Linked DNA regions of Anolis sagrei. The protein of the gene in region 1 purifies or fractionates together with the protein of each later gene. This does not show direct contact. Links are inferred from orthologs where the notes say so. Each region holds a gene or a part of one and is shown on either strand. Other genes may lie near its edges.

Region 1 (16,268 bases):
TGGCAGGCTAAAACTCAGAACCTCAACCAATGGCTGATACCAAATGAGAGACTCCCCCCTGGGCACACAGAGGACTGGACGACTTGGAAGGCGCTGAACAGACTGCGCTCTGGCACCACGAGATGCAGAGCCAACCTTCAGAAATGGGGCCACAAAGTGGAATCCACAACATGCGAGTGTGGAGAAGAGCAAACCACTGACCACCTGCTGCAATGCAACCAGAGCTCTGCTACATGCACAATGGAGGACCTTCTTGCGGCAACCCCAGAGGCACTCCAAGTGGACAGCATCTGGTCAAAGGACATTTAATCAACTACCAAGCTTGCAAACTTTGTGTTTTGTCTGTTTGTTTGTTTGTTTTGTTAAAAATGTAATACAAATGTCTGGTTGCTCCTGACATAATAAATAAATATGGGGGACCCTGTCGAAGGACTTACTGATTGTAGCTGAACTATAAATCCCAGCAACTACAACTCCCAAATGACAAAATCAATCCCTCCTCAGCCTCAAATTTGGGCATATCGGGTATTTGTGCCAAATTTCGTCCAGTGAATGAAAATACATCCTGCATATCAGATATTTACATGACGATTACTAACGGTAGCAAAATTACAGTTATGAAGTAGCAATGGAAACAATCTTGTGGTTGGTGATCACCACAACATGAGGAACTGTATTGAGGGGTCGTGGTATTCGGAAGGTTGAGAAACACTGATGTAGATTAAGACATTTGTCATGGCACCACAGACACAGCACTTTGTGGATTACATTTTCGGCTGGATGGACAATTTTCATGGATCAAAAGAAAATTGTTGTTGTTGTTGTTGTGTGCCTTGAAGTTTCCAGTCGGTTGGAACTCTAAGACAATGGTTCTCAACCTTCCTAATGCCGCGACCCCTTAATACAGATCCTCATGTTGTGTTGACCCCCAACCATAAAATTGTTTTCATTGCTACATCATAACAGTCATCTTACTACTGTTATAAATCATAATGTAAATATCTGATATGCAGGATGAATTTTCATTCACTGGACCAAACTGGGCACAAATACCCAATACACCCAAATGTGAACGCTAGTGGGGTTGGGCAAGGATTGATTTTGTAATTTGGGAGTTGTAGTTGCTGGGATTTATAGTTCACTTATAATCAAAGAGCATTCTGAACTCCACCAGCGATGGATTTGAACCAAACTTGGCTCCCATGACCAATGGAAAACACTGGAAGGGTTTGATGGGAATTGACCTTGAGTTTAGGAGTTGTAGTTCACCTATATCCAGAGAGCACTGTGGACTCATGCAACAGTGGATCTGTACCAAAATTGGCATGAATACTCAATGTGCCCAAATGTGAACATTGGTGGAGTCTGGGGAAAATAGATCTTGACATTTGGGAGTTGCTGGGATTTATAGTTCATTACAATCAAAGAACATTCTGAACTCCACCAACGATAGAATTGGCTCAAACTTCCTACATGAAATCCCCATGACTATCAGAAAATACTGTGTTTTCTTATGGTCTTTGGCGACCCCTCTGACACCCCCTCACGATCCCCTCAGCGGTCCCGACCCCCAAGTTGAGAAACACTGCTCTAAGATGTCTTGAGACCCAGTTTCAATGGAAATCTCCATTTCGTGCTGCTTTTAGCCTCCTTCCAATTGAGCAACCGGCTTTCTCAGATTTCTCAATTCTATTCTTGCAATGCTTTCTTCAAGAAGAAGCGAGTACCTACTCAGGAAACTGGAGAGGAAGGAGAGGCATTCCTGTGAATTTCCTATTTACTAAAGACGCAGGAGGGGAACCGATACGTAACAATACAGAATGGGTTGAGACTCAATGATGATATTCATTGAAAAACTATCACAAAATGTGCTGCAGGATGTCCCTTCTGCAAGATCAAAGTTTTTGCAGTTTCATAAACTTTCCCCATGTTTTAATGATAGAATTATGCTCTTACTGCCTATTACAGGGAAAACCAACTGATCCCTAATCCATCTAAAACACAGACATGCGCCTTTCACCTTAAGAACAGACAAGCATCCCGAGCTCTGAGGATTATCACCTGGGAAGGGATCCCACTGGAGCATTGCAACACACCCAAATACCTGGGAGTCACTTTGGACCGTTCTCTGACCTACAAGAAGCACTGCCTGAACATCAAGCAAAAAGTGGGCGCTAGAAACAACATCATACGAAAGCTGACTGGCACAACCTGGGGATCACAACCAGACACAGTGAAGACATTTGCCCTTGCGCTAGGCTACTCTGCTGCTGAGTATGCATGCCCAGTGTGGAACACATCTCACCACACTAAAATAGTAGATGTGGTGCTTAATAAGACATGCCACATTATCACAGGGTGTCTGCGCCCCACACCACTGGAGAAATTACACTGCTTAGCCGGTATTGCACCACCTGACATCCGCCGGGAAGTAGCAGCCAATAGTGAAAGGACCAAGGCAGAGACATCTCCAGCTCATCCCCTGTTTGGGTATCAGCCAGCACGTCAACGACTTAAATCAAGACATAGTTTTCTTCGATCTACAGAGACACTCGCTGGAACACCCCAGCAAGCGAGAGTCCAAAAGTGGCAGGCCCAAACCCAGCACCTCAATCCATGGGTGATACCAGATGAGAGACTCCCTCCTGGGCACACAGAAGACTGGGCGACTTGGAAGGCGCTGAACAGACTGCGCTCTGGCACCACGAGATGCAGAGCGAATCTTAAGAAATGGGGCTACAGGGTGGAATCCTCGGCATGCGAGTGCGGAGAAGAACAAACCACTGACCACCTGTTGCAATGCACCCTGAGCCCCGCCACATGCACAATGGAGGACCTTCTTGTGGCAACCCCAGAGGCACTCCAAGTGGCCAGATACTGGTCAAAGGACATTTAACCAACTACCAAGTTTGCAAAATCTGTGTGTGTGTTTTTTTTTCTTTTTCTTTTTAATCTGTGTGGGTTTTTTTGCTCTGTTATACAATGGTATGGTTGCTGATGACATGATAAATAATAATAATAATAATAATTATTATTATTATTATTACTCTTCTATTTTAGTTGCCAATCCCTTTATAGATGGAAGGTACTTCCATTGTTTTCCACTTTTTGGCTTTCAGAGTTTCACTGTCTTCTTCACCCAGGAAACATATTTAACATCCAAAGGTGTTAGATCAATTCAAGGTGCAGGTTCTTACCTTCAAAGCCCTGAACGGTTTGGGACCTGCCTACCTACGTGATCACATCTCTGTGTATGAACCCACATGATCTCTTCGATCATCTGGAGAGGCCTTGCTCACGCTCCCACCTCCATCGCAGGCATGATTGGTGGGGACGAGGGAGAGGGCTTTTTCGGTGGTGGCCCCTCGACTCTGGAACTCATTTCCCAAGGACATCGGGGATGCCCCAACTCTGGCAATTTTTAGGAGGAGCCTGAAAACGTGCCTTTCCAGAATAATGGATTTCTCAGCAATATACCCTCAAAATGCACTTTATTATTCATTTAGGATTGATTGATTTGCATGCCTTGTCCCCTGCGAAAATATCCATCCCAGTTATTATTATTATTATTATTATTATTATTATTATTATTATTATTATTTACCTTACTTATATACCGCTGTTCTCAGCCCGAAGGCGACTCACAGCGGTTCACAACAATAGAAACAGCAAAAATTCAAAGCAACAGTATAAAAACAGTTAACAACCTAACACATTACACAATTAATAAACAATTACTACAATAACCATTCATTATCGACTCATCATCAAAAACATGACCCAGATTCGTCATCCATTGTTCCATTCCAGTGTTCATTAACCAATCATTGCACTAATTATTTGAACGCCTGCTCTTCACTTTTTTGCGGAATACCATTAGAGATGGTGCTAGTCTAATGTCCGTAGGAAGGGCGTTCCACAGCCGAGGAGCCACCACCGAAAAGGCCCTATCTCTTGTCCCCGCCAGCCGTGCTTGAGAAGCAGGCGGGATCGAGAGCAGGGTCTCCCCGGACGATCTCAAAGTCCTGGTGGGTTCATAGGCAGAGATGCGGTCGGATTGGTAGCTTGGGCTGGAACCGTTTAGGGCTTTAAAGGCCAACACCAGCACTTTGAATTCAGCCCAGTAGCAGATCGGTAGCCAGTGGAGTTGGCGCAACAGGGGGGTTGTATGCTCCCTGCGCTCCACTCCTGTTAAAATCATGGCTGCCGAGCGCTGGACTAGTTGGAGCTTCCGAGCCGTCTTCAAAGGCAACCCCACGTAGAGAGCGTTGCAGTAGTCTAAACGGGATGTAACCAGAGCGTGGACTACTGTGGCCAAGTCAGACTTCCCAAGGTACGGGCGCAGCTATATCCTACCTTGCTCATGCCCAGCATTATTTTTTAAATTTGAATTTTACATTTGGCCCAGCCATAGGTTTTAAATGCTTGTTGTGTTGCTGTACTGCTTATATTTTATTTTACTTTTGTTTATGAGATGTATTTTAACTGTTTTGTACTGTTTGTTTGCTATTGTTTTATTATTGATGTGTTGTGGGCTCGGCCTCATGTAAGCCGCACCGAGTCCCTTGGGGAGATGGTAGCGGGCTATAAATAATAATAATAATAATAATTATTATTATTATTATTATTATTATTATTATTATCTATTTCTGAACACCACTATACCAAATATGCTGTGGGTACCAGATAATGGCTGGTAAAGGCATCCTTATTCTGTTCTATTCTATTCCTTCCTTCCTTCCTCTTCTCCGTTTTGTAGCATTGCTCCCTGAAGATGAAAGGAGTAAACCATCAAGACACTGCTGAGCAAAGATGTCCCCAAAGGTGATTAATAAATGGCACACAACGGTTTGGAATCCTATAGCAACCTTATGCTTCAATGTAAACAAGCTTTGTTTACAAAATCATCAAAGATATTACCCATCACATTAACCTTATCATGGGGTTTTCTGAACTTCAAGATAGAGGGGGCCATTCCGATCTCCAGTGAAAGGGAGTTCCAGAGTTGAGGGGCCACCACCGAGAAGGCCCTGTCCCTCGTCCCCACCAGACGCGATTGTGAGGCCGGTGGGCCCCTCCAGACGTCTTAGCAATTTTGATGGTTCATAGGGGAGAATACGTTCGGACAGGTAAACTGGGCCAGATTCGTTTAGGGCTTTATAGGTTAACACCAGCACTTTGAATAGTGCTCGGAAGCTAACTGGCAGCCAGTGGAGCTGGCGCAACAGAGGAGTAGTATGCTCCCTGTACCCCACTCTTGTTAGCAAACTGGCTGCCACACATTGGACTAATTGGAGCTTCCAGGCAGTCTTCAAAGGCAACCCCACGTAGAGAGCGTAGCAGTAATCTAAACGGGATGTAACCAAAGCTCACCCTTATCCAGAGAACACTGAACCCAGCTGATAACAGATCTGGACAAAGTATTATTATTAGTAGTAGTAGTAGTAATAGTAGTAGTAGTATAAGACTCCCAACCCTTTGTTGGTGCCCAGAGCTTTTGGAGAAGGCCTCTGCAAGGTGATGGGAGGATAGTTCACCCTTATGCAGAGAACACTCAACCGAGCTGATAACAGATCTGGACCAAGTAGTATTAGTAGTTCACCCTTATCCAGAGAACACTCAACCCAGCTGATGACAGATCTTATTATTAGTAGTATTAGTATTAGACTCCCAACCTGTTGTTGGTGCCCAGAGCTTTTGGAGAAGGCCTCTGCAAGGTGATGGGAGGGTAGTTCACCCTTATCCAGAGAACACTGAACCCAGCTGATAACAAATCTGGACCAAGTATTATTATTATTATTAGTAGTAGTAGTAGTAGTATAAGACTCCCAACCCCTAGGGAGGACTCAGACTGGGGGGGGGGGGTTGGGGGGACTGATTCAACAGGAAGGAAGTTGTAGTAATCTGGGAGTTGTAGTTCACCCTTGTCCAGAGAACACTCAACCAAGCTGATAACAGATCTGGACCAAGTATTATTATTAGTAGTATTAGTATTAGTATTAGACTCCCAAACCCTTGTTGGTGCCCAAAGCTTTTGGAGAAGGCCTCTGCAAGGTGATGGGAGTTGTAGTTCACCCTTGTCCAGAGAACACTGAACCCAGCTGATAACAGATCTGGACCAAGTAGTATTCGTATTAGTATAAGACTCCCAACCCCTTGTTGATGCCCAGAGCTTTTGGAGAAGGCGATGGGAGGGTAGTTCACCCTTATCCAGAGAACACTGAATCCAGCTGATAAGAGATCTGGACCAAGTATTCTTAGTATTAGTATTAGTATAAGACTCCCAACCCCTTGTGGGTGCCCAGAGCTTTTGGAGAAGGCCTCTGCAAGGTGATGGGAGGGTAGTTCACCCTTATCCAGAGAACACTCAACCCAGCTGATGACAGATCTTATTATTAGTGGTATTAGTATTAGTATTAGACTCCCAACCTGTTGTTGGTGCCCAGAGCTTTTGGAGAAGGCCTCTGCAAGGTGATGGGAGACTAGCTTACCAGTATCCAGAGAACACTGAACCCAGCTGATAATAGATCTGCACCAAGTATTAGTAGTAGTAGTAGTAGTAGTAGTATAAGACTCCCAACCCCTTGTTGGTGCCCAGAGCTTTTGGAGAAGGCCTCTGCAAGGTGATAGGAGTTGTAGTTCACCCTTATCCAGAGAACACTGAATCGAGCTGATGACAGATCTGGACCAAGTATTATTAGTATTAGTATTAGACTCCCAACCCCTTGTTGAGGTTTTGGAGAAGGCCTCTGCAAGGTGGTGGGAGGGTCCTTCTGGGTCTGGAGGGGTCCCTCCCCGACTGGAGCCTTCCCCACAGAGATACAGATACCCCCACGCCCCTTTGGACCCACCGTAGATCATGGCGAGGCCCGTCTCGTGGAGGAAGCGTGCGCGTCGGTGCTTGAAGAGCCAGATGGTGAGGATGGTGAGGGTGAGGAGGAGGATGAAGATGAGCAGGTTGGCGCTGTCCTGCCGGTGGCTGGCCTCGGCCGCCTTCTCCGACACGATCTCCTCCTCCAGGGCCACCGGCGGGCCCGAGCCGGACCCCCCGCAGACCCCCAAGAGCAGCAGCAGCTCCAGCAGGGGCAGCCCCGTCGCCAAAGGGGGAGCCCTCCGGGGGGCGGCAGGACCCTGGCCCCAAAGCAAGGCCATGGCTAGGGCTCGGGCTCTGGATACAGCGATGGCTGCTGCGCCTCCTCCTCCTCCTGGCTCCTCCTCTTCCTCCACTTCCTCCTCCTCCTCGAGGCTGGGGAGAAGGGAAGCAAGCTCTCCCAGGGTTGGAAGGGACCCCCAAAGGCCATCCAGCCCAACCCCCTTCTGCCAAGCACCATCCAAGCCCACCCAACAGATGGCCATCCAGCCTCACAGGCGTTAGATGAGATGGAGAGAAATAATAAGGCCACAGGATGCTAGAGTTAAAGGGGACCCCCAAAGGCCATCCAGCCCAACCCCCTTCTGCCAAGCACCATCCAAGCCCTCCCAACAGATGGCCATCCAGCCTCACAGGCATTAGATGAGATGGAGAGAAATAATAAGGCCACAGGATGCTAGAGTTAAAGGGGACCCCCAAAGGCCATCCAGCCCAACCCCCTTCTGCCTCTATGCAGGGAAAGCACCATCAAAGCACCCCTGACAGGTGGCCATCCAGCCTCACAGGCATTAGATTAGATGGAGAGAAGTAATAAGGCCACAGGATCCTAGAGTTAAAGGGGACCCCAAAGGCCATCCAGTCCAACCCCCTTCTGCCTCCATGCAGGGAAAGCACCATCAAAGCACCCCTGACAGGTGGCCATCCAGCCTCGCAGGCATTAGATGAGATGGAGAGAAATAATAAGGCCACAGGATGCTAGAGTTAAAGGGGACCCCCAAAGGCCACCCAGCCCAACCCCCTTCTGCCAAGCACCATCCAAGCCCACCCAACAGATGGCCATCCAGCCTCACAGGCATTAGATTAGATGGAGAGAAATAATAAGGCCACAGGATCCTAGGGTTAAAGGGGACTCCCAAAGGCCATCCAGCCCAACCCCCTTCTGCCTCCATGTAGGGAAAGCACCATCAAAGCATCCCCGACAGGTGGCCAGCCAGCATCACAAATATAAGATTAGATGGGGAATGATGACAGGTCTAGAGAATCCTAGACGGAGAGAAATAATAGTCCTATGGGATCCTAGACTTAAAATGGACCACAAAGGCCATCCAGTTCAAACCCCCCCCCCCCCCCCGCATCCATGCAGGGAAAACTCCGTCATAGCACCCCGACAAATGACCACCCAGCATCATAGACATTAGATTAGATGGAGAGAAGTAACAGGGCTAGAGAATCCGAGATGGAGAGAAATAATAGGGCTATAGGATGCTAGAGTTGAAAGAGTACCCCAAGTACCATCCCTTCTGCCTTCATGAAGGAAAAACACAATCGACGCACCCCTGACAGATGGCCATCCAGCCTCATAGACATTTAATTAGATGGAGAGAAATAATAGGGCTATAGGATCCTAGAGATGGGAGGGACCCTCAAAGGCCACCCAGTCTAGCCCCATTCTGACTTCATGCAGGAAAAGCACCAGTTTGGGGACTTACATTCCAAAACAAGAACAGCTTGATCAAAATGCTTGGCACCAGAAGTGTTTGGGATTCCTCTGGATGTTTAAATGTTTTACAATACTTGCATATACGGAACAAGCACCCCATTTTCGAAATGCTTGGCACCCAAAGTGTTTGGGATTGTGTTGGGTGTTTACATGTTTTGAAACCTTTTACATAGGTACACCGAATAGCACTTGTCCAGAATGTTTGGGAACAGATGCATTTTGGATTCCGGGTTGTTTATTGTTATTGTTATTAAGGCTTTGAAGGGTAGATGTTTACTAAAACACACACAGAGAGAAGAAGCAGTGCTGTTGGCCTGGAGACATATTCCAAAGTTCATGTTACGATCTTGGTTTTATGAGGCTGGATTTTGTAGAGTTTTCCTGAAACAGACTAAACAGTGCAATTTACCCAGCAGCTAAGGATTTGCATGAGCCTATTTTGACCCTTAAGACTGCAGCTTGAAACCTTTGAATTAAACCCTATTCATTGCAAAGGCCTTTGCAGTCTCCAGACCCAAAATACATCGAATATCAATTGAGTTTATTTCCCGAAATGGGGCTCTTTAAGGGATTTTCTGCTTCTGGTAAAAGCTGTCAGGACTATTGGACTATTTGGAAGTCACTTGCTCTCTCTGCTACTGGGTCGTTGAGAGTTTTCCGGGCTATCTGGCCATGTTCCAGAAGCATTCTCTCCTGACATACATTTCTCCCACATCTATGGCAGGCATCCTCAGAGATTGAGAGATCTGTTGGAAATTAGGCAAGTGGGATGTGTGTGTGTGTGTGTGTATGAATATCCAGGGTGGGAGAAAGAACTCTTGTCTGTTGGAGGCAGGTGTGAATGTTGCATACCTTGATTAGCATTGAATTGCCACCTTGATTGAATGGCCTTGCAGCATCAAAGCCTGACTGATTGCTGCTTGGGGGAACCCTTTGTTAGAAGGTGTTAGCTGGCCCTGATTGTTTCCTGTCTGGAATTCCCTGCTTTTTTAATGTTGCTCTTTATTTACTGTCCTGGTTCCCCCAGGCAGGAAGCCACTAGGCTTTGAAGCTGCAAGGCTATACAATGCTAACCGAGTTGGCAAATTGCAACATTTGCACTGGCCTCAAACAGACAAGAGTTCTTTCTCCCAACATGGACATTCCCCAGGTATATAAACCTCACTTGCCTAGTTTCCAACTGACCTCATATCCTCTGAGGATGCCTGCCATAGATGTGGGTGAAATGTCAGGAGACCTGATAGCTATGTATAAGTATGTGAGAGGAAGTCATAGGGATGGGGGAGCAAGCTTGTTTTCTGCTTCCGTGGAGACTAGGATGCGGAACAATGGCTTCAAACTGCAATAAAAGAGATTCCATCTGAACATTAGGAAGAACTTCCTAACTGTGAGAGCTGTTCAGCAGTGGAACTCTCTGCCCCAGAGTGTGGTAGAGGCTCCTACTTTTGAGACTTTTAAACAGAGGCTGGATGGCCATCTGTAGGGTGTGTTTTGAATACGATTTTCCTGCTTCTTGGCCGAATGGGGTTGAACTGGATGGCCCATGAGGTCTCTTCGCACTCTATGATTCTAATGATTCTGGAACATGGCCATACAGCCCGGAAAACTCACAGCAACCCAGTCATTGCAGCCGTGAAAGCCTTCAACAACATTCTGCCACTGTTGCTTTGAAAGTAAGGTTTGCTCTTAATTTGATTTATAGATGTTAATCTAAGTTTCAGTAACATTCCTTTGGTTTGCCATTGAACCCTCTGCACAGAAAGCAGTTCGAAACCCACTGCAAGAAATGGTAGGTAGCTTTGTTTAGAATGAGAGGAGTGTGACAAGGCATAGATTATGGCACAATGCAGGGCTTGTTTTTCCACCACAGAGTAATATTTTCCTCCTTCAGAAGAAAGGAAGAAATGCATGGGTTTTTGGGGTTTTTTTTTTTGTTTAGTTAGTTTGTTTTTTGCCAAGAGGACAAATGCCTTCAAAGCAATTATCTGGGTGCATCTGAACTGTGGAATTTATGCAGTTTGACACCACTTTAGCCATCAATGCTAAGAAAGCTGGAGAGCTGCAGTTTTACAAGATCTTTCACTTTGGTCCTTCACCAAACTACAGATCCCAGGTTTCCATAAAGGCAGTTAAAGAGGTGTCAAACGACATTCTTTCTACAGTGTAGAATTATTATTATTATTATTATTACTGACAGAAAAACATAGTATGGCACAGCAAATTAGATATATATGCTGGATTTCGTATCACTAAATCACAAGTCGAACACTTCCCAAGTGTCTAGGACTGTGTGATGTATTATTGTTGTTGTTGTCAGTTCTGTCTTCTTTCCATTGGTAAAAGGCACCCGACTTGATCAAGGCTACATTTTGCAATTTATCTCCATTGCAGCGCTTTAGTAAAATCGATCCAACACCCATTTTTCAGTATTTCCCCATTTTTATTATGAGTTTCAATTCTTATACTTGTTTTCAATTAACATGATGATCAATCATCCCCTGCCTTGGAAACACTGTCTACATTCCATGTTTATAATTGTGGGTAGCTTTGATGTCGAATCCGCCCCAAACCCCTGCTTTCCAGCTGATCTGACCAGCTGCAGGGAGTTCCGCAGTTCCTGGATGCCAGCTCTGATGAAATGTGCCCCAGCAGCAGCCTCAACCAAGGATTCTCTGCAACCTTGAGCTTTCTCCTTTTGCTTTTCTCCCCAGCCCAAACATTGTAACAAAACCCCTAATAAAGACTAATTGAATTGTAACGTTCACCTCTCCAAAGTGATACACTGTGTCTATTTCCTGACTCACAAGTATCAAATGCATGAACTTATCCTTTTTTGGGCCGTGGGCAGCGGCGGGCCCGCCTGGGATGCCTTCCAGGCATCGCAGGGAGGCTGAATCTGCGTTTCTTTAAACCGCGGATACGGAAACCACTCGGGCCACCATATCCGCGAGTTAACCGACCAACTCCATTTTGGTGCCATATTTTTCCTAGCTTAATTCTAACATTTTCTAACATTTTATATTTATACATTAATATTAATAATTAATTAATAATATTATTCTTAAATTTTAATTATTACATTTGGCTCTGCCATAGGTTTTTAACATCGTTGTGTTACTGCTATTGTTTATTGTTTTTTTTTTGTTATGAGTTTTTGTTTTATTGTCTGTATTAATTGTTGTTATTGCTTTTATCATTGATGCAGTGTGGTCTCAGCCTCATGTAAGCCGCACCAAGTCCCTCGGGAGATGGTTGCGGAGTATAAATAAAGTTTATTATTATTATTATTACTATTATTATTAGTATATTGTATTATTATATTCTATTATATTATAATATTATTAATATTATATGTTTCTATTATATATTATATTATTAGCATAGTACAATATTAGGATTATATATTATATTGTACAATACCATTAGAATGCAATATTATTAGTAATATTACAATATTATTAATAATATTAATAATATTATTAGTAATATTACAATATTAATAATATTAGTAATAATAATAATAATAATAATAATAATATTTTTTGTCGTGTCAGGAGCATCCTGTTGTGAGAGAATTGGCCGTCTGCAGGGACGTTGCCCAGGGGACGCCCGGATGATTTTGATGTTTTATCACCCTTGTTGGAGGCTTCTCTCATGTCCCCGCATGAGGAGCTGGAGCTGATAGAGGGAGCTCATCCGCCTCTCCCCGGATTCGAACCTGTGACCTGTTGGTCTTCAGTCCTGCTGGCACAGGGATTTAACCTACTGCGCCACCGGGGGCTCCAATATTAATAATATTAATATTGTAATTTACTAATAATATTAATAATATTGTTAGAAATATTACAATATTAATAATATTATTGTAATATTACAATATTAATATTAGTGTAATATTACAAATCAACAAATCTATTAACAAATATTACAAATCAATAAATCTATTAACATATCAATAAGCTAACGCTTTGAAAAATCAACATAATGGTATCTGGCTTTCAAAACAGGAGTGAGCAAGTAAACAAAGTGATGTCAGGTTCTGTCTCCTTTAAGAGAAGCCACGCCCATTCCTGTCTGTTACCTGTTAAGCTCCTCCCTCTTTTCCCAGCTTCCGCGCAGGCGCCTTGGCGTCGTATCGTCTCAGCGGGCCGAGCGAAGGCGAGAAGAGGCTCCGCCCCCTTTTGCGTCAGCACGCATTTCCCCCTTTCCCTTTGCCTCCGCGTGCGCATGCGCGGTCGGGATCCTTGGCTGCTGGAGGGAGGGCGGACGATGGCGGCGGCCTCGCTGTGGAAAGGGCTCGTCGGGGTCGGGCTCTTCGCCTTGGCACACGCGGCCTTCTCCGCCGCCCAGCGTGAGTCCCGGGCCAACCCCTTCCCCTCTATTCGCCGCTTTCTCCCTCAGCCACTTGACAGAAAAATCTAGGCAGGCTTCAGGCCTTCACTTCCTTGGCTACGGGTGCCGAGAAGGGACTTTTCGGGGCTTTCTTGGCCTTATTGCTTTTGCAGGCCGCTTTGACGAGGCAGGAAGAACTACAACTCTCAGACTAACATTAGCATTGAAGCAAAGCAGTTCCACTTGGGATATAGGCTAGGAATGCCTCTTTCGGGGCCACTTTAGGTGATAATTTGTGAATTAAGGCCTGCCATCTTCGTGATGAATAGTACTGGCATTCAGAATAGGAACAATCCAATATAAATTCAATTTTATGTAAGCATAATACTTCTATTTATATGAACAATGTTTATATTTATATGAATACTAGCCGCCCCCTGCCACGCTTTGCTGTGGCCCAGTCTGGTGATCTGGAATATAAAGTAATGAGAAAGTGTTGGTTTCTAATATATGTAATGTCTTGATGCTTGTGGGTAAACAGTATTTCTTGCTGTTACTTTGTCAGTGTTGATATGGAGATTGTCTGGTTTGCCCACCCTGGAATATGCAACATATCATTGTCCTTTAGGGTTCCCTTTCAAATCTATGATACTATATCTGTGAGTGTGTGTGAATCATATCTATCTATCTATCTTTATGACTGGATGACTCTTTGTCAGGAGGGCTTTAATTATGTTTTCTTGCCCTGATGGAGTTGGATTGGATGGCCTTAAGTATTTTCTGTTGGTCATGGGGGTTCTGTGTGGGAAGTTTGCCCCATTTCTGTCATTCGTGGGGTTCAGAATGCTCTTTGATTGTATGTGAACTGTGAATCCCAGTGACTACAATTCCCAAATGGCAAGGTCTATTTCCCCCAAATGCCATCTGTGTTCACATTTGGGTGTATTGAGTGCTTGTGCCAAGTTTGGTCCAGATCCATCATTGTTTGGGTCCACAGTGCTCTCTAGATGTAGGTGAACTACAATTCCCAAACTCAAGGTCAGTGCCCACCAAACCCTTCTAGTGTTTTCTGTTGGTCATGGGAGTCCTATGTGCCAAGTTTTGGTTCAACTCCATCATTGGTGGAGTTCAGAATGCTCTTTGATTATAGGTGAACTATAAACCCCAGCAACTACAACTCCCAAACGACAAACTCATTTTTTGTGAGTGAAGGACATACATTGGGTTGTTAGGTGTATTCCCCCAGTGGTTTTTGAGTTCCGTTAGTCCCACAAATGAACATTACATTTTTATTTATATAGATATAGGTTGACTTCTCCAACTCATATCCATATATTTTTTATGATAGTACCAATTAGGATATGACATTTATAACCCAGGAACAAATAATGTGTTACATAGTGATATTCCTCTCCAATTCATTCCCCATTAACTTTCTTTTGCAGATCGTTCCTATATGAGACTAACGGAAAAGGAAGATGAAACCTTGCCAATAGATGTAAGTTTTAGGAAGTTTGCCTGTGATCCGTAGGATGACATATTTGTGTATAAAGTGGTTTGAATGCACTGGAATCATTGAACTAATAGAACCCAAGGATTAATTTGACTGGAGCCCGTTGTGTTGGGTTGTGCCAATATGTCTGAATGCGTAACTTTTTGTTGTGCTTTATTGTGCTTCCACAAATGGAATCTGAAGTGCAGCACCTCCTCATTCTTTCTTTACTCGAATGTACAAACTCCCAGTCTTAATGAGATAGATGTGCCTCGCGCTGTTCTTGAGACTATAATACAGGGGTCCTCAAACTAAGGCCCGGGGGCCAGATACGGCCCTCCAAGGTCATTTACCCGGCCCTCGCTCAGGGTCAACTTATGTCTGAAATTTATTTATTTATTTATTTATCGTGTCAGTATCAACCAGACAATTGTATTACATTTTTAACAAACAGACAAAACACAAAGTTTGCAAGCTTGGTAGTTGATTAAATGTCCTTTGACGAGTAGTTGGCCACTTGGAGTGCCTCTGGTGTTGCTGCAAGGAGGTCCTCCATTGTGCATGTGGCGGGGCTCAGGTTGCATTGCAGCAGGTGGTCAGTGGTTTGCTCTTCTCCACACTCACATGCCGAGGATTCCATTTTGTAGCCCCATTTCTTGAGGTTGGCTCTGCATCTCATGGTGCCAGAGCGCAGTCTGTTCAGCGCCTTCCAAGTCGCCCAGTCTTCTGAGTGCCCAGAGGGGAGTCTCTCATTTGGTATCAGCCATTGATTGAGGTTCTGGGTTTGAGCCTGCCATTTTTGGACTCTTGCTTGCTGGGGTGTTCCAGCGAGTGTCTCTGTAGATCTTAGAAAACTATTTCTTGATTTAAGTCGTTGACGTGCTGGCTGATACCCAAACAAGGGATGAGCTGGAGATGTCACTGCCTTGGTCCTTTCACTATTGCTACTTCCCGGTGGATGTCAGGTGGTGCAATACCGGCTAAACAGTGTAGTTTCTCCAGTGGTGTAGGGCGCAGACACCCCGTGATAATGCGGCATGTCTCATTAAGAGCTACATCCACTGTTTTAGCGTGGTGAGATGTGTTCCACACTAGGCATGCATATTCGGCAGCAGAGGGCAGATGTCTTCACTGTGTCTGGTTGTGATCCCCAGGTTATGCCAGTTAGCTTTCGTATGATATTGTTTCTAGCACCCACTTTTTTGCTTGATATTCAGGCAGTGCTTCTTGTAGGTAAGAGCACGGTCCAGGGTGACTCCCAGGTATTTGGGTGTGCTGCAATGCTCCTGTGGATTCCTTCCCACATGATCCTCAGAGCTCAGGATGCTTGTCTGTTCTTGAGATGAAAAGCACATATCTGTGTTTTAGATGGGTTAAGGATCAGCTGGTTTCCCCTGTAATAGGCAGTAAGAGCACCTAGAGCTTCTGAGAGCTTCTGTTCTACCATCTCAAAGCCCCCTGCTTGAGCAGTAATGGCATGATCATCAGCATAGATGAAGCTCTCTGTCCCTTCTGGCAGTGGCTGGTCATTTGTGTAGATGTTGAACATGGATGGAGCAAGCACGTTCCCCTGAGGCAGGCCATTCTTCTGTTTCCGCCATCTGCTTCTCTGGCTTTGGAACTCAACAAAAAAGCTCCTGTTTTGTAGCAGGTTTCCTATGAGGCGGGTGAGGTGGTAGTCCTTTGTGATATTATACATTTTTCTCAGGAGGAAATGACTTGAAAGCACACAACAACAACAATCCTATCTCATCAGCCAAAAGCAGGCCCACATTTCTCATTGAAATACTATAGTGCATTGCACATATTCCGTAGCTGTTATTGCACTCTTGGAGATTAACTAGAGTGCAATA
Region 2 (16,415 bases), on another chromosome or scaffold:
TAGTAATATATTAGAGATGGTATGATATCTGAGAAATAATCTTCGTCATTAAAACACAGTTCTAGCATTCTTCAGCCACATTTGACAGATATAACAAATCACCTTATCTCTCTCCTGAGGAATCTGTATAAGGACCAAGTAGCAACAGTCAGAACTGACCATGGAACAACAGACTGGTTCAAGATTGGGAAAGGCGTACAGCAGGGTTGTATATTCTCACCCAACCTATTCAGCTTGTATGCAGAACACATCATGCGATGTTCGGGGCTTGAAGAATGCAAGACTGGGGTGAAAATTGCTGGAAGAAACATTAACAACCTTAGATATTCAGATGACACCATTTTGATGGCCGAAAGCAAGGAGGAGCTGAGGAGCCTTCTAATCAAGGTGAAAGAAGAAAGCACAAAAGCTGGGTTGCAGTTAAACATAAAAAAAACCAAGATTATGGCAACAAGAATAATTGACAACTGGGAAATAGAGGGAGAAAACGTGGAGGCCGTGACAGACTTTGTATTTCTAGGTGCAAAGATTATTGCAGACGCAGACTGCAGCCAGGAAATCAGGAGACGCTTACTTCTTGGGAGGAGAGCAATGACCAATCTTGATAAAATAGTGAAGAGTAGAGACATCACACTTGCAACAAAGATCCGCATAGTAAAAGCAATGGTATTCCCCATTCAGGAAATAAAGCCCGACTGCTCATTGGAGGGAAGGATATTAGAGGCAAAGATGAAGTACTTTGGCCACATCATGAGAAGAAAGGAAAGCTTAAAGAAGACAATTATTCTGGGGAAAATGAAAGGAAAAAGGAAGAGGGGCCAACCAAGGGCAAGATGGATGGATGGTATCCTTGAAGTGACTGGATTGACCTTGAAGGAGCTGGGGGTGGTGACAACCGACAGGGAGCTCTGGCGTGGGCTGGTCCATGAGGTCACAAATAGTTGGAAATGACTGAACGAATGAACAACAACAACATCCATCTAATCATATTTTACTTTCTTATCAAATTGTATTGATTTAAATGCAATTTACTTGTGAACAAAGTTGTACTAGAACTATAGCAATAGAGCATTATAAATTACCAAAAAGACCTTTAGCTTCCAGCATCTCAGTTCTGAATACCGTCTATGAAATACTGAAAATACAGAACAGATGGTTTTAAAAGCAAAGTTTCCGTTGATTAATATTTCCTTTGATTTAAAAGTATGGAAAACCAGACACTTCTGGATTTGCTTGTTTGTTTTGTTAAAAGACCAGCCACCCCGGACTTAAAACATATAATCAGGAAACTGATGAAATTGTACCCCAAAGATCTTAGTGAGCAAGTGGAGGCATTTCCAGTAAATGTAATACAAAAGCAACTTCTTAAAAGGGCAGAGGCGTGAAAGAAGTACAGTCTTCTCAGATTTTGGAGGTTATGTGCACTTCCCAGGTGTCAGGGCATTGCTGAGCTTTGCTCCAGACAGGTCTGATAGATAAGAAAAACAATACCTCTACATGATATTCTTCATCTTATTCCTCTGGCTCTTCCCTTTCTTCATAATCATCTTTGTTCTTTTCTTTGTGCTTTTCCTCCTCATCCGATTTTTCTTCATCTCCTTTTTTCCAACTCCTGTTAAAGATTAACAACAAGTCTGCCACATCCTTTGAACTTCCAGTTGAAAGCAGGAGTTGGAGGAGTGGGAGAGTCAGCACTTCAAATGTCATAAACAATTGAAGTTATTAAAATAATGGTTGGAGAATGTCTTCTATCACTAGTGAAGGACTCCTGCCTTTTGAGATCAATGTGTATCTTTCTTTCTAGCCTTCGTTTTTTTTAACTGTAAAAGCTGATAACATTTCTTCAGGGCTTAAGGAAACCATAACTTCCCATTTGGGGGGGGGGGGGGTCTGTGGACCACAGGTTAAGAACTGCTGCCATAATGTATCTGTGAAAAGGTTGTTTTGCATCATAGAACTTTTAAAACAAATTGAAAGTAAAAATCCCTCAAAGCCCTAATGCAGAGACAAGATATCATTACAAATAATCCTCAATATGGAGGTACATTAACCAGGAAACCAAAAGAGTTCTGTACTCTGAGAACTCATTTTTAAGGCCACTCTAGAAAAGCCCTATATTGTTTTGCACTCATGTCTCTTATAAAATAAAATCATTCCACACAGCCCTCAAGTCATTCTCTAATTTTACTCCAAAATGTTTTATAATTATTAATCTTTCCACCTATTTTCACCATTAAGTCATATTGTCAATATGACATATAGAACCCACCATACCTCTATCTTATTCAGTACATCTGCATTATCTTTTGGTTCTGTTTTTGGAATTTGGGGCTTTTTGCTTGTTACAGTAAAAAAAAAAAAAAAAAACCCTAACCCTGCATTGTTCCAGATTCATATAAACAGGACCATAAAAATGGCACTGCTTCATATTTAGTAAAGCAGGGAGACTTGAAAACAATATAAATTAAATTATTATGTGGAAACCACTAAGCAACAATACAGAAAATCTGTATCTGCTTTTATTGCACTATATTCCTTTGAGTACATCTGTATCACAAAAACAAGATGGTTGTATGAATGTGTATTTAATGGGATGGAGGGCTTTTAAAGAGGCTATGAGCATACTGCATTATTTAACTGATTGCTTCCCTAAGGTCACTACCATCAGTTACTTCAGAACTACAGATGAACCATTTCCAAAAGCAAGGTTTTGAAATGCTAATATTTAAAAGAAATCTTGCTAAGGCAAGAAAACTTCATTTTTTCCCCTTTTCCCTCTACCACTCAACATTCAGTCATCACTTTCACAGAAAAACTAAAATAAAAGTTATATTGGGCAATATTACTCAAAATAACAGTTATCAGTCCCACTTTTCTCCCAAAAACAAATATTATGAACCCTAAGAGATAAGGTTTCGGCTGCTTCATGTGCATGTTACATTTTTCCCTCTTGCTTTCAAGCCGTCTTGGGGATTTTCTCCAATCTTTGCAAAATGAAATTTTTAATTATTTTTGATAGCAGTCTATCTTATGTAGAGGAACCAAACATATTTTGATCAGTGCATTCATTAACACTGATTTTTCACACTATCTCAGTATAGTCCAATATCTGAAGGATTTCATTTTACCTACCCCTGGGCTTGTTCTTGACTGTACAAATCTCTAGAACCTGGCCACATTTATGTGCCTCTTTGCTGTAATAAAACTATTACACACATGGATCTTGGAGCTTAGTTTTATACTGCAGTGTACCTTTTAAAAAAACTTTCATGTTTCTTCTATTTCATTTTCTGAAAGTCTTCACAGCATACATATCCTGTCATGACAGGGGAACAGGGGACTAAAGGACAAAAAATGCTATGACATATTTAATTAACATCAAAGGATAGAAGGAAAGAACTTGGTTTCACTTTGTGCTAGAAGCCTAGCTTTGTATTTGATTATCCAAAGCAGTATGAATTAAGTTAACACATAGAACTGTTCTAATATCATGTAAACCAAGCTGCAATGTTGGACACATTTACATGGGAACAAGTTGTATTCAACACACTTGGCTTTAATTTTTTTTAAAAAACCTATACAGGTTGGGTATTCCTTATCCAGAATTCCAAAATACTCCACAATCCAAAATTATCCCCATGGGTGGGTGAGATAATGATACTTTTGCTCTTTAATGTTGCAATGTACATAAACTTCCATACACAAAATTATTTAAAATATTTGTATAAAATCACCTGCAGGTATGTGGATATGAAATATGAATGAATGTCATATTTAGACTTGGGTCCCATCTCCAAAAGTTCTCATTATTCTAAAATCTGGGGGGAAAAGGAACACTTCTAGTCCCAAACATTTCACGTAAGAGCTACTCAACTTGTATAAGATTGCATGCCTGGGTGTGCCAGGAGCTTAAATTGTGAGCCCAACATTTGCCTTGCATGCACCTGAAAATGCACCAGCTCCTACTGTACCAAACTATAATTACTTTATGCGCTAGAGCACACTACCATTACAGAAGATTTTGACTACTCTGCAGAAATTTGTTCCATTCTAGTGTTAAACGTAACAATAGACAATAGACTGTCAGTGTATACCAGATGCTGTAGGCTACTTTTCAGAGGAAGTATTAGCAAAACCACCTCTTAAGTATTTCTTGCCTGAGGAATTCATGAGGTTGCCATAAAGTAACAAGTGATTTAAAAGTGCATACAAAAACAGATGGAACCAAAGCTTAGAAAGTTATTGCTTGAAAGTATGAGTTACAGTTATAAGTACAAGACCTGAAAAATAATGTCTTATTATCATAGTTCCATAGTTCCAAAATAATTGAAATAACTGTTCTCAATTCCTTTTTAAAAGCACCAGAAAGATACAGGATACTAGTTTGTAGTAAAACACACCCAAGCAATTGGCCATGCCCCATAGGACTGTAAAGGTAACAAAGCAGTTACACTGTAAAAAGAATAAAGGTACTGTATTTGCTGTTAGAAAATATATTTGTATTATACTAAAAAGAAAGGTGCAGACCTGAAGCTCTTGACTGAAAAGTGGAGCAGTGGCAATGGCCTGTACCTGCTTTGCAGTTGCTTTACATATTGCTGTTTCTGGGTTTTAGCTCTTTTTCATTTGCTCTGTAGTGGTACAAACAGTAGCCTATGTTTCAGAGGAAGGCAATACCAAAATGTCTTGCCTGTGAAAGGGCCTATGCAATGTGTGGTGTTGCTATAAGTTGGCACATATCTTAACGACAAAAACATATATACACCCTTAACTTTCCCACTATTTCCAGTTGACAAAAAAGTGGAGTGCTTCATCCTAATGGAGGTACTTACTTTAGACACTGCTTCAGGTAATGTTTCACATCTAGCAAAACCAGTCGCTTCCTTGACTCAACTCAGCCATTTTGGATAACTAGAGGAAAAACAGCTTTCATTCAATCTCTCTTCAACTACTCTGTCAGATTACACTGAGAAGCCATTGAAATCCACAAGCACATGGACAATTTCAACTGATAGGAAGAAAACATGAAAATGAACACTTGGCTACCAGTATTGAGAAACACCAGAATCAAGAGAGCAACTAATGAACACCACCCAGACACAGGAGATCTCCAGGCAGCAAGCAATCAAGGGCTAGTGAGCTACCATCCAGACAAAGGATGCCTCTAGGCAATAAACACTTCAAGGGAACAAAGTCCTGATTATTTCTAGGCAGATCTCCTCAGTTACTCACATGCTAATGGATGGATCCCACTCAAAGCACTTCCAAATCAAGCTTGCTAATTGCACCCTTCACACAATAGGCATTGGTTCTTTTTCTCACCCTGGACATTCCACGGGTATATATACACTTGCTTCACCACCATCAGATCCTCTGAAGATGCCAGCCACAGATGCAGGTGAAATGTCATGAAGAAATGCTGTTAGAACACAGCCATACAGCCCAGAAACAATACAGCACCCCAGCAGTTCTGGCCATTAAAACCTTTGACACTAAATGACATATTCAATTTTTGCAGTATTTCAGATCCTACAAAACATACCCCTGGTTGTAAATTCTGAACGATACTAGTTAGGATAAGTGGGCCACTCAATCACTGCATTCACACCACATCTTAAGTGGCTCAATCCAGGTCTAGGCTGCTCTCTTTGTTTAGCAATTTTTAGAATTGGAGTTTTCAGTAGTTTCTGTTGCAACATTGAGGATGGGGATATACTATTTAGCACACTACTGTATGATTTATTAGCAAAGGATTAAAAGGATCAAAGAAACAATTACATTATTACATTTTGTTCAGTATTTATATTATGCCTTGACATTCACAATGCTCAACAAAGTAATTCCAAAAGGCTCAAACCCTGATCCTGATTGACATTCTTTGAGTTATTTTAAATCCTGCTTGAACTTATTTGGAACTGACAAGTTCCTGACATAAAATATTTGGAGGATTGACACACAGACCTATGGATTTGCATTCAGAAGCCCCACTGCACTCTATAAAGGCATGCTCTCTAGGAAACACTGGGAGCATTTGCAGAAAATGGCATTAAGGGATTGTTACTGAGCTTTATAACATTTGGATGATGGCATCCATGCATTCCCTTGAACAGCTATGTGAAGCCATATAAAGTTATATGAAGCCAGGCCCGTAGCCAGGATTTTGATTCGGGGGAAGCTGAGTTTGATTTGGGGGCGGGGGGAGGCTGAGTCTGAGTGAAAGAGGGTCTACCCTAGCAAACCTTTTGTATCATTACCCCAATACCCCCATGCATATGGGATATATTGAGCATGGTGATCAGATCATGATATGAATAAACATAACAGTTTAAATAATTTACCAGTAAGGCCTTCTCACGGACCACCATGAGAATTTCGGGGGGGGGGGGGGGCTGAAGCCCCTCAAGCTCCCCCCCCCCCCCCCCCCGGCTACATGCCTGTATGAAGCAAAATAATCTGAGGAACTGGAAAACTGATTCCACCTAAGCATTAGGAAGACCTTCATGGTAAATAACTACTGGGGATACATTTATGACCAGATTGCAGCTACGTGAAACTACAGAGATGACTGAACACTATTACATTACTGTGGAGTTGTGCTGGAGGACCTATCTCCTCTAGGAATTTGCTAGGTCTTCCAACACAACTCTATGGAAGCATTTGTTGCTAAAAATCAGGAAAAAAAACTTGGAGGCAAACAACAACAAGTAGTCAATTACAAGCAAGCTGTTTTACTATTTGAAGCTGTGCAGTAAAACCTAGTATACCCCAGAGGAATTGTGTATATTTTTATTCCTGTGCATCAAGTCTGGCAGGTGGTGGGACGCAACTGACATACATCTATGTGAATATGTTTTTATTGATTTTATCATGGGTTTATAATATTTTAATTGTTTTTTTATTGTATTCTTATGCTTTGATGTTGACTCTAAACCACCCTGAGTCGCCTGCGGGCTGAAAAGGATGGTATATAAATGTAGTAAAATAAATAAATAAATCTTTAGACTGTTCTGTCAAGGCATAACATTCCCAGAGTTGAAGCTCCCACATGCATATACATATTCCAAGAATATACAGGGTTGCCCAAAAGTCACAAAGTTGTTTCAATATTTAAGAAAACATGTTTTTAACTAACAATACTATATAGCATCATACAAAGTATATATAAGAAATAAATGTACATTATGCGCGAAAAACAAATTTCGTAAATAGTCTCTCATACCATAGGATCATACACAGTCTTAAGGGCCCTTCCAGACAGTACCTATATCCCAGGATCTAATTCCAGATTTTCCGCTTTAAACTGGATTATATGAGTCCGCACTGCCAGATAATTTGGGATCAACAGAAAACTTGGGATCAGATCCTGGGATATTGGCCCTCTTTGTGACTTTTTTCCTAACGGGAAGGTGGGGCATAAATAGAGTAAATAATAGAAAAGTATGGAAGAGCATCTCTGCACCAGCTAACGTGTCTCTGCACCTAACATGTGTCTTCGGATCTTCCCCAAAGTCCCATTCTCTTTGCCTTCCTTATCAAAATTATGTAACAACTGTGTTATATAATTATGGAGGCAGCATTATTGATGTCTAATGTACGATTTTTCAGTGGCAGAGTAAAATGGCTCTTTCAGTCAGCATTTGCAAAATAAATTTTTTATTGGCTCCCTGTTGTTTTGGCTGCGGGGTGTTAGCCTTACTTATTGTATAGCATTAGGTTTTAAGTAATGAATTATTTATCCAGTACACCATCCTAATACTTCACATGAAGGGTAGCATACTCTCTCTCTCTCTATGAAACACTTATTTTCAATTATATATAAATATAAGGAGGTTTGCTTTCAGGACCCCCATGGATACCAAATCTACAGCTGCTCAAGTTTCCCCTTGAGATTAAGTGTAGTCGTGTCTGACTCTGGAGGGTGGTACTCATCTTCATTTCTAAGCCAAAGAGCCCGTGTTGTCCGTAGACACCTCTAAGGTCATGTAGCTGGCATGACTGCATGGAGCACTGTTACCTTCCCACAGAAGCGGTATCTATTTATCTATTCACACTTGCATGTTTTTGAATTGCTAGATTGGCAGAAGCTGGGGTTAATAGCGGGAGCTCACCCTGCTTCCCAGATTTGAATTGCCTATCTTTCGGTCAGCAAGTTCATCAGCTTAGCAGTTAAACCAGCAATATGTCCCCAAACGCACTTTATTAGTGATCTAGGTTTGTCTGCACATCTCATCTCTCTCCAAAACATTTACCCTAGTTATATGTCACCTTGTCATGCCCAGCATTATTTTAAAAAATTAATTATTACATTTGGCCCAGCCATAGGTTTTAAAATGCGTTGTGTTATTGTTAATCTTTATTGCATATTTTCTGCTTATGAGTTTATTTATTGTTTTGTATTACTGTTGCTATTGTTTATTGTTGTATTGTGGGTTCGGCCTCATGTAAGCTGCACCGAGTCCCTTGGGGAAATGGTAGCGGGGTACAAATAAAGTTTTATTATTATTATTATTAAACCCGCTGCACCACCACATGTCTTGCATATTTTTGTTGTTCATTCGTTCAGTCATCTCCGACTCTTCGTGACCTCATGGACCAGCCCACGCCAGAGCTCCCTGTCGGCCGTCACCACCCCCAGCTCCTTCAAGGTCAGTCCAGTCACTTCAAGGATGCCATCCATCCATCCATCTTGCCCTTGGTTGGCCCCTCTTCCTTTTGCCTTCCACTTTCCCCAGCATCATTGTCTTCTCTAGGCTTTCCTGTCTCCTCATGATGTGGCCAAAGTACTTCCACTTTGTCTCGAGTATCCTTCCCTCCAGTGAGCAGCCTGGCTTTATTTCCTGGAGGATGGACTGGTTGGATCCAAGGCACTCTCAGAACTTTCCAACACCACAGCTTAAAAGCATCTATATTCTTCCGTTCAGCCTTCCTTATGGTCCAGCTCTCACATCCGTAGGTGACTACAGGGAATACCATGGCTTGGACTAGGCGGATCTTTGTTGCCAGTGTGATGTCTCTACTCTTCACTATTTTATCGAGACTGGACATTGCTCTCCTCCCAAGAAGTAAGCGTCTTCTGATTTCCTGGCCACAGTCTGCATCTGCAGTAATCTTTGCACCTAGAAATACAAAGTCTGTCACAGTCTCCACATTTTCTCCCTCTATTTCCCAGTTGTCAATCATTCTTGTTGCCATAATCTTGGTTTGTTTGATGTTTAGCTGCAACCCAGCTTTTGCGCTTTCTTCTTTCACCTTGATTAGAAGGCTCCTCAGCTTGCATATTTACATGCAGCCTAATAGCCTGTTAGGAATTGTGGGAGATGGAAGTCCAAAACACCCGGAGGGCCGAAGTTTGCCCATGCCTGAGCTACACTGCCCAATTAGAAACAGGTTAATACCACTTTAACTGCCATCGCTCAGTGCTATGGAATACTGAGAGCCTTCGTTTGGTGAGGCCTGAAGGTCTGGAGGCTTCCCTGCCAAAGAGTGCTGGTGCCTCCCAGGGTTGCACAGCATTGAGCCAAAGCAGTTAAATTACCGGCTGTTAGGAATTGTGGGAGTTGAAGTCCAAAACACCCGGAGGGCCGACGTTTGCCCATGCCTGCAGCTGCAGCAGTAATTTACACAGTCTGGAGCCTTCCCTGCCAAAGAGTGCTGTTTCCAGGATACACTGTTTCCAGGATTCCAGAGCATACAGCCAGGGGAAGTTAAAGCGGTATGAACATGCATTAATACTCCAGTGTAGCGCCCTCCCCTCTCTCGCAGCCGGGCTACCGCAGTGGGCAGGGCCGGGGGCGGAGACGGGTGTCTCGGGAGCGCGCCTGGCAGCATCCCCGCCCCCTTCTCGACTCCTCCTCCTCCTCCTCCTTCCCTCGCTTCCCGTAGCCGGGCTTTGGGAGCTTGTCTGGGCGGCGGCGGCGGCGATGTCGGCGCTGGAGTGGTTCGCGCACAAATCCCTGGGCGGCGGCATCTTCTGGATCCAGGAGCGCTTCTACGAGTCCGGGAACCGGGCTAACATCTGGCTGGTGCGAGGCTCGCAGCGGGACGTGGTCATCGACACCGGGCTGGGGCTGCGGAGCCTGCCGGATTACCTCCGCTTGGCGGGGCTCTTGGGGCCCGGAGCCCCCGAGGAGAAGGGGGCGGAATCCGCGCCGCCGGCGGGAGAACCCCTTGCGGGACAGCGCCCCCTGCTGGCCGTGGCCACGCACGTGCACTTCGACCACGCGGGCGGGCTGCACCAGTTCCCGGAGGTGGCCGTGCACAGCGCCGAGGCCCCGGCCCTCCGCCGCGGGGACAACTACGAGGCCGTGACCTGGCTCTCCGACGGCGAGGTGGTGCGGCAGCCCAGCCCCGGGTGGAGCGCCAGGCACTTCCGGGTCCGCCCCGTCCAGCCCACCCACGTCCTGCAGGAAGGTGAATCCGCCCCCCTTCCCTCCTCCCCGAGCTTCTCCCCCAGACCCTTCCCTGGACCCTCCTCCCTCTGTTAGCAATCAGCAGAGCATTTGGCATGCCTAGAGCGAGTGTTGTCTAAACTAGAGGTGTTTCCCAAACTGTAGAGCAGGCTGTTAGGAATTGGCCGCCCTGAGCCCTCTTGTGGGGAGAAGGGCGGGATAGAAATGTATGTAATAATAATTATTACATGTAATAATAATAATAATAATAATAATGTAATAATAATAATAATAATGTAATAATAATAATAATACACCGGAGCCCCCGGTGGCGCAGTGGGTTAAAGCACTGAGCTGCTTAGCTTGTTGATCGAAAGGTCGCAGGTTCGATTCCGGAGAGCGGCGTGAGCTTCCGCTGTCAGCCCTAGCTTCTGCCAACCTAGCAGTTCGAAAACATGCAAATGTGAGTAGATCAATAGGTACCGCTCCGGCGGGAAGGTAACAGTGCTCCATGCAGTCATGCCGGCCACATGACCTTGGAGGTGTCTACGGACAACGCGGGCTCTTCGGCTTAGAAATGGAGATGAGCACCACACCCTAGAGTCAGACATGACTGGACTTAATGTCAGGGGACTACCTTTACCTAATAATAATAATAATAATAATAATAATAATAATTGTTATTGTGGAAGTTGAAGTCCAAAATACCTGGAGGGCCCAAGTTTGTCCATGCCTTCTCTATAGTCTTCCAGGTCAGAAGCAAATTGAGAAGACAGTAATCTTCTGTATAAATAAATATGTAATGTTCGGTTTGTGGGATTAATATGTAATAGTATGAAAGCTGGATCCAGAAGCGCTGAACATAACGCTGTTTGCGCAACGCAGACCAGAACACAGATATTATAGAAGGAATGTAAGAGGTTTTTTTAAATGGTAAAACCCTTATTTATTTATTTATTTATTTGGTAGTTTTGTATACCGGTCTTCTCACCTCCATTCAAGGGACTCGGGCCGGTTTCCAACATCAATATTACAGACCGTCATTAAAACATCATATTTCTAAATCACACTAAAACATTAAAACATTGAAACAATTAAAATGGCAAAAAATACAATCATATGATTACAGTGGTCAGTCATCATCAAAGTCATTATTCATCGTCATCCATCCATATCAAAGGATCATGGCTCATTCGTTGAATGCCAATCCCCAAAGCCAGGTTTTCACGTTTCCTGAACATTAAGATCGAACGGGCAGTTCTGATCTCCAGTGGAAGGGAGTTCCAGAGTTCCTTACCTGAACCCTTAACCCTAACCCTGACCCAAACCCTAAACCTGACTACTAAACCTAATCCTAACCCTTACCCTACCCCTAACATTAAACCTTATCCTAACCCTCCCCTCCTTTCTATCTTTCCATCAAATGCAACTACAGAGTATATATTCCCGCCCTCAGTGTGCTGCTCTCTTCTTCCCTGATTCACAACCGCCGTTGCAGAATGTGCATAACGCTCAGAGCTTCTGGACCCAGCTATCATACTAGCATTGATTAACATAACTCAAAAACCACTTGACGAACTGACACCAAATTTGGACATAATACATATATCAGGCCAAGGAGTGATCATCACTCATAAAAACACTGAAAAACACAGTGGAAGAGACTTAAAAAGTAAAAAAAAAATTACAATGCATGCACAAAATCACTAATAATAGTAATAATAAATTTTATTTATACCCCGCCACTATCTCCCCAAAGGGGACTCGGAGCGGCTTACATGAGGCCAAGCCAAGCGATACATTGCAGCAACATAAAATATAAACAATAAAATAGCATCACAATAAAATAAACCAATCAAGTAAAATAAACAGTACAAAATAACATAATGGAAAACAAAACATAGTGGGTGGGCCAAATGCACAGCATAAAATGATAAAACTCTGGATGAGATAGCAATGAAAAGGTACATTTGTGGGGGAGGAGCTTGTAGGAGACTGAATTAGACTTTCAAAAAGGTGGGGGAAAGTGCAATATGAGGTAAACTGTGTAGGTGAAACAACAGGACTGGAATATATGGTGATTCTCCAAAGGTACATCAGAAATATATATACACACACATACACAACACATATACACAGACTGGGCCACAGCAACGTGTGGCAGGGGACAACTAGTCTATATAAATAAAAATGTAATGTTTGTGGGATTAACATAACTCAAAAACCACTGGATGAATTGACACCAAATTTGGACACAATACACCTATCAGGTCAGCAAGTGACCATCACTCATAAAAACACTGAAAAACACAGCGGAAGAGACTTAAAAAGCCAAAAAACAAAAAATACATAACAACACATGCACAAAACCACATATATACGCACACATATATACACAAATATACACACACACATATACACATACACAGACTGGGCCACAGCAACATGTGGCAGGGGACGGTTAGTAATGTATAAAAAACCACAAAGTTAAAAATTTGGCATATATTTCCTTTGACAAAGTGCTGCTGGTGTTGCTGTAAGGGCTCAGACCACATGGTAGTAAGTGGTCTGTGGTTTGCTCTTCTCAGCACTTGCATGTCATGGACTCCACTTTGAAGCCCTGTTTCTTGAGATTGGCGCCACATCTCGTGATAACAGAGCGCAGTCTGTTCAACGCCTTCCAAGTCACCTAAGAGTGCTCAGAAGGGAGTTTCTTTATCTGGTATCAGCCACGGATCGAGGTTCCGGGTTTTAACCGGGAGAAATTATACTATTTAGTTGGTATTGCATTACATGACATCCGCTGGGAAGTAGCAGCCAATAATGAAAGGACCAAGGCATTGATATCTCCGGCCCATCCTCTCTTCAGATATCAGACAACGCCTTAAATCAATAAACAGTTTTCTAAGATCTACGGAGATACTCGCAGGAAAGCTTCATCAAGCAAAAGTGGCAGGTTAAGTGTCCAAAAGTGGCAGGATCAACAACCCATGGCTAATAAGAGTCCAAAAGTGGCAGGATCAACATCCCATGGCTAATACTGAATGAGAGACTCCCTCCTGGGCACACAGAAGACTGAACAACTTGGAAGACGCTGAACAGACTGCACTTTGGCACCACGAGATGCAAAGCCAACCTTAAGAAATGGGACCACAAAGTGGAGTCCACGACATGCGAGTGTGGAGAACAGCAAACCACAGACCATCTCTTACAGTGCAGTCTGAGCCCTGCCACATGCACAATGGAGGATCTTCTTATAGCAACACCAGACAGAAGCACTCCAAGTGGCCAGCTTTTGGTCATAGGACATTTAGTATAATGCCAAGTTTTTAAAACTTTGTGCTTTTTAAATACATTGCAGCTGTATCCTCGGTTCTCTTCTGATACGTTAAAAAAAAGCCTGCCATTTTTGGACTGTCGCTCGCTTGCTGAGGTGTTCCTGTGACTATAAACGCAGATCTTAGGAAGCTGTTTCTTGATTTAAGTCATTGGATGATATCTGAACAGAAGATGCCTTGGTCTTTTCATTGCTGGCTGCTACTTCCAGGCGGCTATCAGGTCGTGCAATACCAATTAAACCCTCCAGATGTTTTGGATTTCAGCCGGTAAGCTGTTAGGAATTGTGGGAGTTGAAGTCCAAAACACCTGGAGTTCCGAAGTTTGCCCTTGCCCGGGCTAAACAGTATAATTTCTCCAACAGTGTTGGGCGTAGATATCCTGTGATAATGCGGCATCGAGCCATAGCAATTAAAGTGGTGTAAAACTGTGTTCATTCTATTATTATTATTATTATTATTATTATTAACTTTATTTGTACCCCGCTAGCATCTCCCGGAGGACTCGATGCGGCTTACACAGGCCGAAGCCTCAAAACACAGTACAGTAAAACGTAACATCACAATAACAGCAAATCAAAACAATAAACAAAATAACATAACTCCACAATAACTAAGCAAATCAGATAATAAGCAAAATAACGACAATGACAGTACATCAAGACCTTATTAAAATTGGTTCGGCCGGCGCACTGGGGTACAAGGGTTAAAAGTGCTGAAATGGCAGGAGGCACGTAAGATTAAAAGTGCGGTGTGCAGCGACAATTAGTTATGCTAAAGTGCTACTAGGACTTGGGGTGGGGTTCCTAGTCTGGGAAGGCACAATGGAACAGCCAAGTTTTTAAATTCCTTCTGAAAACGGCCAGAGTGGGGGCCTGTCTGAGATCCTTTGGGAGGGCGTTCCAGAGTCGGGGGGCCGCCACAGAAAAGGCCCTGTCCCGTGTCCCCACCAAACGCACTTGTGACGTGGGTGGGATCACGAGCAGGGCCTCTCCTCTCCTCTATAGTGTAGATACATCTGTAGATAACTGGGACAGACATGCAGGCTGAAAAAATGAGGCTCACTTCAGAGGATTTAAATCCAGTGGAATTCTGGGCAGAGTAGTTCAGTGAAGTACTTTGTACTTTTCGTTGCTATAGATCTCTTGTGTCGCAGTTCAGGGAACTGCACTAGAGCCCTCTCAGAGAATCCCAGGTACATCAGCACTGAAATTAATGCAGTTTGACATCACTTTAACTACCATGGCTCATGCTGTAGGATCATGGAGATTGTAGTTTCCTCTGTCTAAGAGTGCCGGTGCCTCACCAAACTTCAACTCTAGTGATTTTAAAGCTGGTTTAATTCTCCAGTGTAGATGCGACTTAAGTTCAGTACTAGATGTGATTTGTGGACTTCAGCTCCCAGAATCTCTGATCTTTAGCCAAAGCAGCTGTGGCTTCTGGGAGTTGAAGTCTACAAAATCTGGAAAACTGCACTTTGGGAATCACTGTTGTAGAGCATGTTCCAGCAACGATTCATGGTGTGGAAGGGAAAGGGTGCAACCTCAGCTCATTACAAAACTTTCCCATAATTGCATTAAAAGGAATATGTGAAGTAGATATGTCTATGTAAGATGATTAACTTGCTCAGAGACAGGCATTTTACACTTATCAGTATATTTCACCAATACTACTATTTAGAAGAGTTAATCTGGTTTATTTATTTTGTATCAAAAGCATTGCATGAATTAGTATAAAACTGATAAAAATAGAAGGAGCACAAGCAGCAATATATCTTTTGTCCAAAAACGGGCAACAGCCACCGCATTGTCTATAGTTTCAATCAATTCTTCCTCTGTACATGAGGCAGGACATTGCGGACAAACATACAGATGCAGAGTTGTCTGTTCTGCTCCACAGTCACACAAGGTAGAGGATTCTTTTAGGTAATTCCTTTTTGGCAGGTTGTCTTTTGATCTGCCCACTCCACTTCTCAGTCTGTTCAGGGACTTCCAAGTTAGTTAATCATATACATTACAGTAATGTTTTGAGTCACGTGTAGAGGAAAACAACAACAATAATAGTACCTGCTTCATATATAGGTGGCACTGATGGGATCATGTGTGAGCCCCTACACTTTATGGATTTATAAATCCAAAGCCTTTATGTTGGAGTGGAGAGGGGGGGGGGTGTTGCTCTAAGATAGAAGAGCAGCAGGAATCAAAAGGGGAGTTTGAATGCGCTATCCATCTCTGAGATACATTTGTGGGGATGCATACAACATTCAATAGGGTCATACTGTGCAAGGGTCATACTGTACAATAATGCCCAACATTTCTTAGTGATATAGGACCCCTGATGGTGTGGTGGGTTAAACCATTGAGCTGCTGAACTTGCTGACTGAAAGGTTGGCTATTCGAATCTGGGGACAGGGGTGAGCTCCCACTGTTAGCCCCAGCTTCTGCCAACCCAGTAATTCGAAAACATGCAAATATGAGTAGATCAATAGGTACCACTTCTGCAGGAAGGCAATGGTTCTCCATGCAGTCATGCTGGCCACATAACCTAAGCTCTTGGGCTTAGAAATTGAGATGAGCACCATCACCCAGAGTCGGATATGACTAGACTTAATATCAAGGGAAACCTTTACTCTGCATATGACCCTTGTGTCGATGGTGCATAGGTTCCAAGATTTCTTGTGGATACTTAAAAC

The links.
Region 2: the proteins of SLC9A6 (region 1) and MBLAC2 purify together in Homo sapiens (co-immunoprecipitation; 3 studies listed by BioGRID and IntAct, counting the BioPlex papers as one, with this or other methods). This does not show direct contact. The link is inferred for Anolis sagrei from reciprocal best matches to the Homo sapiens genes SLC9A6 and MBLAC2.

Annotation. Positions count from the first base shown.
Region 1 is NC_090030.1:24,586,691-24,602,958, reverse strand, and holds the start of SLC9A6 (sodium/hydrogen exchanger 6), read right to left. Parts: upstream 7,215-16,268; 5' UTR 7,153-7,214; coding exon 6,852-7,152; intron 1-6,851. Other genes in the region: MMGT1 (ER membrane protein complex subunit 5), read left to right, coding at 12,819-12,942, 14,369-14,421. UniProt on the Homo sapiens protein: Endosomal Na(+), K(+)/H(+) antiporter. Mediates the electroneutral exchange of endosomal luminal H(+) for a cytosolic Na(+) or K(+).
Region 2 is NC_090022.1:256,251,482-256,267,896, forward strand, and holds the start of MBLAC2 (acyl-coenzyme A thioesterase MBLAC2), read left to right. Parts: upstream 1-9,857; 5' UTR 9,858-9,920; coding exon 9,921-10,410; intron 10,411-16,415. UniProt on the Homo sapiens protein: Acyl-CoA thioesterases are a group of enzymes that catalyze the hydrolysis of acyl-CoAs to the free fatty acid and coenzyme A (CoASH), providing the potential to regulate intracellular levels of acyl-CoAs, free fatty acids and CoASH.